2 linked regions of the Mus musculus genome follow. Each later gene encodes a partner of the first gene's protein in a complex. Links are inferred from orthologs where the notes say so. Each region holds a gene or a part of one and is shown on either strand. Other genes may lie near its edges.

The links. The genes of interacting proteins can lie anywhere in the genome.
Region 2: the proteins of Irak2 (region 1) and Irak4 are in contact, whole or in part, in a crystal structure (PDB 3MOP), measured with the Homo sapiens proteins. The link is inferred for Mus musculus from reciprocal best matches to the Homo sapiens genes IRAK2 and IRAK4. Residues at the interface, in NP_001561.3 of Homo sapiens: Tyr6, Ile36, Lys44, Met48, Glu59, Trp62, Trp63, Trp64, Gly65, Met66, Arg67, Gln68, Ala69, Gln73; in NP_001107654.1 of Homo sapiens: Asp24, Phe25, Pro28, Gln29, Lys34, Glu92, Phe93, Phe94, Ala95, Pro96, Ser98, Val105.

The regions. Positions count from the first base shown.
Region 1 is NC_000072.6:113,637,189-113,640,934, reverse strand, and holds the start of Irak2 (interleukin-1 receptor-associated kinase-like 2), read right to left. Parts: upstream 2,469-3,746; 5' UTR 2,388-2,468; coding exon 2,294-2,387; intron 1-2,293. UniProt on the Homo sapiens protein: Binds to the IL-1 type I receptor following IL-1 engagement, triggering intracellular signaling cascades leading to transcriptional up-regulation and mRNA stabilization.
Region 2 is NC_000081.6:94,542,466-94,546,211, reverse strand, and holds the start of Irak4 (interleukin-1 receptor-associated kinase 4), read right to left. Parts: upstream 2,553-3,746; 5' UTR 2,386-2,552; intron 1-2,385.

The DNA of each region.
Region 1 (3,746 bases):
CATCAACTCCTTTTCTTCCTGGGTAAAGAGGCTCCCTGACCTCCCCCCCCCCCCCCCCCGCTGAGCCTTGGGGGCTGCTGTGCTCTGTGCTTTGTGCTGAGGGGCTGTCCTGTTGGGTGTTCAGCCTCTGCATCTATCAAGGTGTGACAACTAGAGATGTCTCTGGACATTGGCAACTGCCACTGACAGAAAAAAAAAAAATCCCAGAATGAGAACCATAACCTTAAAATACTTATTTTTCCTTTCTTGTTTTCTTTTCATTCACAGGGCTGGGGGTGGAACCCAGGAACACACGCTAATTGAGTGCTTTGCCGCTGAGGAACATCCGATTCCTCGCATGCATAATATATATCCAAACTGGCAGGACAACACAAGACATGTCCACTTTATGTATCAAGTATAGCTGTGTAATAGATACTCATTGTAGTAAGTGCGCCTGGGTAGGGTCACGGGGCAACTGTGTGGAGTGGGCTCTCCCCTTCTAGCTTTACAAGGGTTCCAGGGATAAAACACGGGTCCACGGGCTTGATATTCAGTGCCTCCACCCATTGAGCAATCTTGCCAGCCTCCAGTATCGTAAACATCTTAATTAAACAATATATTACTGAAGTCAGGCATGGTGACACATAATCCCAGCAACTCGAGAGAGGTCACTAGGAAGACCAGAAATTCAAGGTCATTCTTAGCTAGGTAATGAGTTCTAGGCCAGCCTGGACTACATGAGATCCTGTATTACAACAACAACAACAATGGAACACACACACACATAATTTCATTTAAGAAGTTATATAGCTCACTGGCAAAATGCTTGCCTGACAGGCACAAGGCCTTGGACTCAATTCCAAGCACGACAAAAATATAATCAAGTAAAATTCATAAACACACACACATAAATCATTGCCAGGCAGTGGTGGCGCACACCTTTAATCCCAGCTCTTGGGAAGCCGAGGCAGGTGGATCTCTGAGTTTGAGGCCAGCCTGGTCTACAGAGGGAGTAGGACAGCTAGGGCTACACAAAGAAACCCTGTCTTGAAAAAACAAAAGGAGATTAAGTGGCAACAGTTACACTGCCTTTACCCACTGTTCCTATGTGCGTTTGACCTACAGGAATAAGGTAGCGGGGCTATTCCACACTTAGTGTATAGTGCTTTCCTGGGTTCCATCTCCAGCACCACATAAGCTGAGCCTGCAATCCCAGTATTCCAAAATGGAAGTGAGAGGGTCAGAAGTTCCAGGGCATCCAAGGCTAGCCTGAGCTACATGAGCCCCTTATTCCTTCCCACCCCACCCCCTACCCCACAAATACAAGAGATTCAAATTTATAATCCCACACTTAGGAGGCTGAGACAGGACAATGACAAATTCCAAGGCAACATGGGCTACATTAAAAAACACAACAACAAACAAACAAACAAACGAAAAACAGGTCTCAAAAGTCCAAGAACGTCACCTGGACTATGGCTCAGTGGTAGTGTGACTTTTCTAACAGGCACGAGGCCCTAGGATCAAAGTTCCCTCACTGCAGAAAAATAAATGACTAGCCAGGAATGGTGGACTACACCTTTAACTCAGTATTCCAGCAGGAGAGGCAGGTAGAGCTCTGTTAGTTCCAGGCCAGCCTGATCTACAAAGCAAGTACCAGGGCTACACTGGGTGACCCTGTCTCAAAATAATAAGAATGGAAAATATGCCACAGAATGACGACACTAAGGTAGGGAAGGTACATTCTTTGACACTATTTTATTTTATTTTATTTTATTTATTTATTTATTTTGGTCTTTTGAGACAGGGTTTCTCTGTTTAGCCCTGGCTGTCCTGGAACTCACTCTGTAGACCAGGCTGGCCTCGAACTCAGAAATCCACCTGTCTCTGCTTCCCAAGTGCTGGGATTAAAGTCGTGCGCCACCACTGCCCGGTTGACACTATTTTATTTTTACAACTGTATAAAGAATCTACCCTTGTCAGCTGCAGTTTATAGATTAAGGCAAGTTTCAGGGAAGTTAGGAGGGTGGCCCCAGATACCACAGGCTGCAAGGTAGATCACAGCCCTGGTAACAGCTCTACAAGCATACAGACAGCCAAAACTCGCCAAGAAGCTACATAGTGAGCAGACCACCCTAGGCTATAAGCAACTTCATAGGCAGCTCCAGCTCGTTCTGCAAAGTAAAGCAAAGCAGCAGCGTTCTACACAGGAATCCCCGGCCTCAGGTAACACGGGGCGGGGTGGGGGTGGGGGGGCGTGGATCTGTCTGTCTATCTCGGGTCCTGGCTCAGAGTAAGTAGTGTCACTCACCGAACTGCATCCAGTCCCACTCACTGAGCGTGTCGATATTGCGGCACAGGTCGTCCAGCACCCAGGACGGCAGCTGGTAGATGTAGCAAGCCATGGCGAGACTGCCTGGCGACTGAGCCTGTGGCGGAGGGCCGCGACTTCCCTAGTAAAGGGCGGCGCTGCCCGCGGCCCCACTGGGTAAGCGAGCAAGCTCCCCCGAGCGGCCAAGCGCGGTGTCACGCTCCACCCAAGCTATGGCCGAGAGCGGGCAAGCGAGCGCCTCCCAGTGGCATTCAGTAGCACATGCCACCCGACCCCTGGACCAGTGTCAGGAGTAGACCAAGGGCCTGGGAAAGGCATCCTACAATCCAGAGTTCCAAAGCACTCCCTGAGGCTGGCTAACTTGACCTCCACAGCCTCCTAAAATGCGCTCATATAACAGGTACTGGAGAGACTTAAGCGGAGAAAACCAAGAGATTTTGCCTTCAGTGTGGACAGAAGGAACGAATCAAACCTTGTGCTGAACAATTTAAAAGTGATCTGGGTAGGTGACACACCTGTAACCTCAGCTCTTAGGCTGGAGGACAGTCACAAGTTCGAAGCCAGTCTGGTTGCACACACACTGAGTTCCAAGGCAGGCCAAAGGGACTACAAAGTGAGACTTTTTTAAATTAAAAAGTAAACTCGCGCCGGGCGTGGTGGCGCACGCCTTTAATCCCAACACTCGGAAGGCAGAGGCAGGCGGATTTCTGAGTTCGAGGCCAGCCTGGTCTACAAAGTGAGTTCTAGGACAGCCAGGGCTACATAGACAAACCCTGTCTCGAAAAATCAAAAAAAAAAAAAAAAAAAAGTAAACTCGCAGTTGGTGGTGAACATATTTAATCCTAGCATTCAGGAGGCAGAGGCAGTAGGATCTCTGAGTTGGTGGCCAGCCTGGTCTACAGAATGAGTTCCAGAACAGCCAGGGCTACACAGAGAAACCTATCTCGGAAAAAAAAAAAAAACAATAATAAAAGGCAATAACAAATAGTTTTCATGTCAATAAAAAAATTCATATTTCGGGCTGGAGAGATGGCTCAGCATTTAAGAGCACTGTGCTTCCAGAAGTCCTGAGTTCAAATCCCAGCAACCACATGGCTCACAACCATCTGTAATGAGATCTGATGCCCTCTTCTGGGGTGTCTGAAGACAGCTACAGTGTACTTGTATATAATAAATAAATAAATCTTTTTTTTAAAAAAAGTTCCTATTTGAGGAGGTGGGGTGGAGAAGTGGTTCAGTGGTTGAGAGCCCTTACTACTTTTGGAAAAGCAGTTCCTAACACCAACGTGGCAGCTCACAAGAATCCCTATCTCTAGTTCCAAGGGATCCGATACCTTCTGACGTCCTTGGGGACCAGGCATGCACATGGTGTATAGACATACATGCAGTCAAAACACTTGTACACACAAAGTAAAATAAATTTAAAAACTTA
Region 2 (3,746 bases), on another chromosome or scaffold:
ATTCATTAATGTGACTTATACATTGTAGATACTGGTGTTGTATGGTATGGTTTGGATGTGAAACATCTCCCTAAAGCTCTTCTTTGGAAGGCTTTGTCACTATTATAGTAGTGTTGGGGGCGGAGACGGGGGAGAAGACGTCATGTTTGGATCATGAAGGCTTTCCTGTTATCTACCAATGTATTCATCCATGGATGGAGTCTTAACTTCATGGGGTATTGGGAATCAGTGGTAACTTTAGGAGGTGAGACCCACCTAGATGGAAAGGCTGATTAGGGGTATGCCTTGAAGGATGTGACCCTGTTCTCCCTCTCATCCCTTCTTCCTTCCCTCTTTCTCTCTACCCCTCTCTCCATAGCATGAGGTGAGCAGATTGGTCCCACTGTGTGCTCCCTGCCTCCTAATGCTCCCCTCAAGGCTGTACAGTTATCACCTCCTGACTTATGCTCTGGATCTCTTCTATCTGCTATGCTTTATTGTGGCTCCTGGGATAGATCATCCTTTGAGGCACCCTAAGGTCCCTTCTACATCGCTCATTTTGTCACCTTGAAGCAGTTGAATCAGTGAAACCCTAAGCACTGGAGAGCAGCCTAGATGACTTCGGGGGAAGACCATTGGGCCATCCATCAGCTTGGATGACCTCTGACCTCTGGGGGAGACCAATGGATCATCAGCTGGATGACCTCTGACCTCTTGGGGAGACCAATGGGCCATCCAGCCCAACCCTCTTTACCTTTCTAGACCTTGTTTCCAGGACTCAGAACTAAAGCAGCTGGGCTGACGCCATCTCTGTGTCCGTTAACCTCTCTGTCCCATCAGAGCTCAGAAAAACTTACACGTCAAAGCCGCTTAACACCTTTCGGGACCAGCTCAATTCCTTGGCTGCTACAGTGCTCTGAAAGACTAGACCTGACTGCTAGGGGTGACCTTTGTGCCCTCTCCTCTGTGAACAATGCTTGTGGATTGAGATGGGGCCCAAAGACACAGGGAACAGACCAAAAAAAAAAAAATGCAAAGTAAAACAAACAACAACAATAACAACAAAGTACAAAAAACAAAACAAAAAAAAAAAACAAAAAAACCCCACAAAAACAAAAAGCCCAGCAAGCTTCCTCCTATATAAGAATTTTTGGTTTCTTCCCACTCTGGCCCCTCCCCCTGGTCACTTCTTCCTTATACTTTTACGCAGTCTGAACTTCCCCCATACCCAAACAACCATGTTCTACACTAGCTGTCCCAATGCCTCTCACCCTACAGCAGCCCCGTTTGTTCCTGATGCATCTGCCAAAAGACCTTTGAGATGCCGAGAGATGTCCACAATTTCTAAACACTGACATACTTCAGTGGCCACTAAAACGCTTTGGGTATACTAAAATGTATAATGTCATCCATTCACCAAGACATGTCCTATCTGTGACAGATATTAATCCAGGTGCCTGAAAAATAAAACGTTAGGAAGAATAGGGAGAAAAGGGAGGCAAGAACACAGGGGAGTTTTATTCTAATGATGGAAGAAGGTAGCAAGCTGAGAATGCATTTGGCAGTCTGTTAAACGCTGCCTGCGGTGGTTTGAACAGGAGGGGATTCCATCGTCCCTCATTTGAGTACTTGGTTCCCAGTTGGTGACTTGTCTCAGTTAGGGTTTCCATTGCTGTGAAGAGACACCATGACCAAGGCAATTCTTATAAAGGACAGCATTCAATTGGGGCTGGCTTACAGGCTCAGCGGTTCAGTCCGTTGTTGTCTGCAGTGCAGTCAACAGAAGTCTGTGCTACTGTAGAGTGCGAATTCATCTCCTAAGTTGTTTTGTTTGTTTGTTTTTTGTTTGTTTCTGTTTGAACAGGGAACACAACAAAGACAAGACTGGGAGGCCCAAGTTTGGCCGGAGTGATCAGATCAGTCTTGAAACATGTAGGAAGCAAAAATGTTTAGCATGAAAATAGGAGAATTAAAAAAAAAAACCCTGAGCTCTTTGGCATACATCTTGAAGAATTACTCCCAGAAACGGAAAAATCGATTTTTTTTTTTTTTTAAATTTCCTGCTTTGGGGCCACTGTGTCCATTCCGAAAGCTAATGGTGCTTTCTTGCTCTCTTGGGAATGCTTTTCCTGCCCCTCTCTTGCTTCCAATCTGTCTTGCGCTTACCTCTCCCTCTACCTGTTGGACTGTCTGACTACAGCTAGCTTCCTATGCTCCCCATAGCGAGCAAGCGAGACACTCCGGCGGCAGAGCAGCGCACAGAGGCTGCGGGGCTCCCCAAGCCTCCTCTGCCCGAGTGCGCCCATTTCCTGGTTCTGGAGCGAAGCGACTGATCACCAACCCGGCCCGGGACAGAGGACAGCGGAGAGATCGTGGCTTGAGATCAGCCTTCCTCATACAACCTACTTCCTCTCGGACGTCCCTCGCTTCCTGGACAAGGCGATCGGCGTCCCGCCACGGTCCGGCGAGGACTCGGGGGTGGAGGACGCAGGACCACCAGGCGACTTCAGACTGCCTGCGATCGGGATGCTGCGGGTCACCGGGGCATCATATCCCCCTGTGGGACAGGGAGGGCAGGTCAGCTAAGGGTGAGAGTATAGGGGCGGAGCCAATCCGGAAGGCCACGCCTTTCCCTCCCCGAGCTCCACCCAGGGAAGAGCTACACCAACCGGAGCCTGTCCCTTTAAATGTCCCTGTAAGAGGCTAGGCGGCGGAAAGGCTTCTGGGCATGCGCACTGTGTCACTCGGCGGACCACTTTCTCACGGAAGCGAGGTAGAGCTCACAGAGTCTATTAGGATGCCGGGTCACCGGTGGATCCAAGACTGCTGGACCGGGGAGGGAGGCGTGGTGGCGGCGCCCAGGGAGCGGGGTGGGGTTGGGGTGGGAGTCCCTCTGCAGCCTCGGCTCGCCCCGCGGAGCGGAGGAGGAGCTCTTGCCACCCTCGCCCCCACGTGCCCTGTCTGCCCGCCTCTTGACTAGCTGCTTGACTGCCATGCCTTCGTGCTGCACTGTCCCCACGTGTAGCCTGGAAAGCCGTCCTATGGTCTTTCTTTTCCAACAATCCCTAGGGTTCCGAGGACCCCTGTGGACTTGGTCAGAGCTGACTGCTGATTTCCATCTGCCATTAGAAACAACTCCACGGGGGCAGATGCCAACCTTTGACAGGGTGTTCACTATCTTTCCTTGTCAGCATTACTTCAGCTGTATTCTCCCTATCCCCTCTGCTCTGTGTCAGGGCTTCCCCCTTCCCCCCCCCCCCCCCAGTGCCCGTCTTGATTGTACTTGCACGTGGTATTTCTACCCCGCTTCTGTCTCTTGAACTATTTCCAAAGTCAAGTAGCAGTTTATTATATACCATTCCTGATTATCATAGACAAAAGTTAACACTTCTTTCTTTCTTGTCACCATTAACGCTCTTACTGTGTTCTACTTGTATCTGTTCAACTAGTATCTACTGCAGACCTACTATGTCCTTGGTGCTGTTCTGAATATGGGCTAGTCAGAATTCTGGCTCATGTGGAACTGACACTTTAAGTTGAAGAAGATGGACAGTAAATAATGAACACATTAGCTAGTCATGCTATACAGGAAATTAAATCAGTTTTTTTCTTTGTGTGTGTGTGAAAGAAAAGAAAACAGGTTCCTAAAGCTTATAGATGAATCCTATAGATTAGATTATTGGTGGGTGAAAATGTCTGAGGATGTAGATGATCAATTACTTGTAAAGTCTGGGAAATACAAGAGCTAGGCAGTGAAGCTGCTCTCT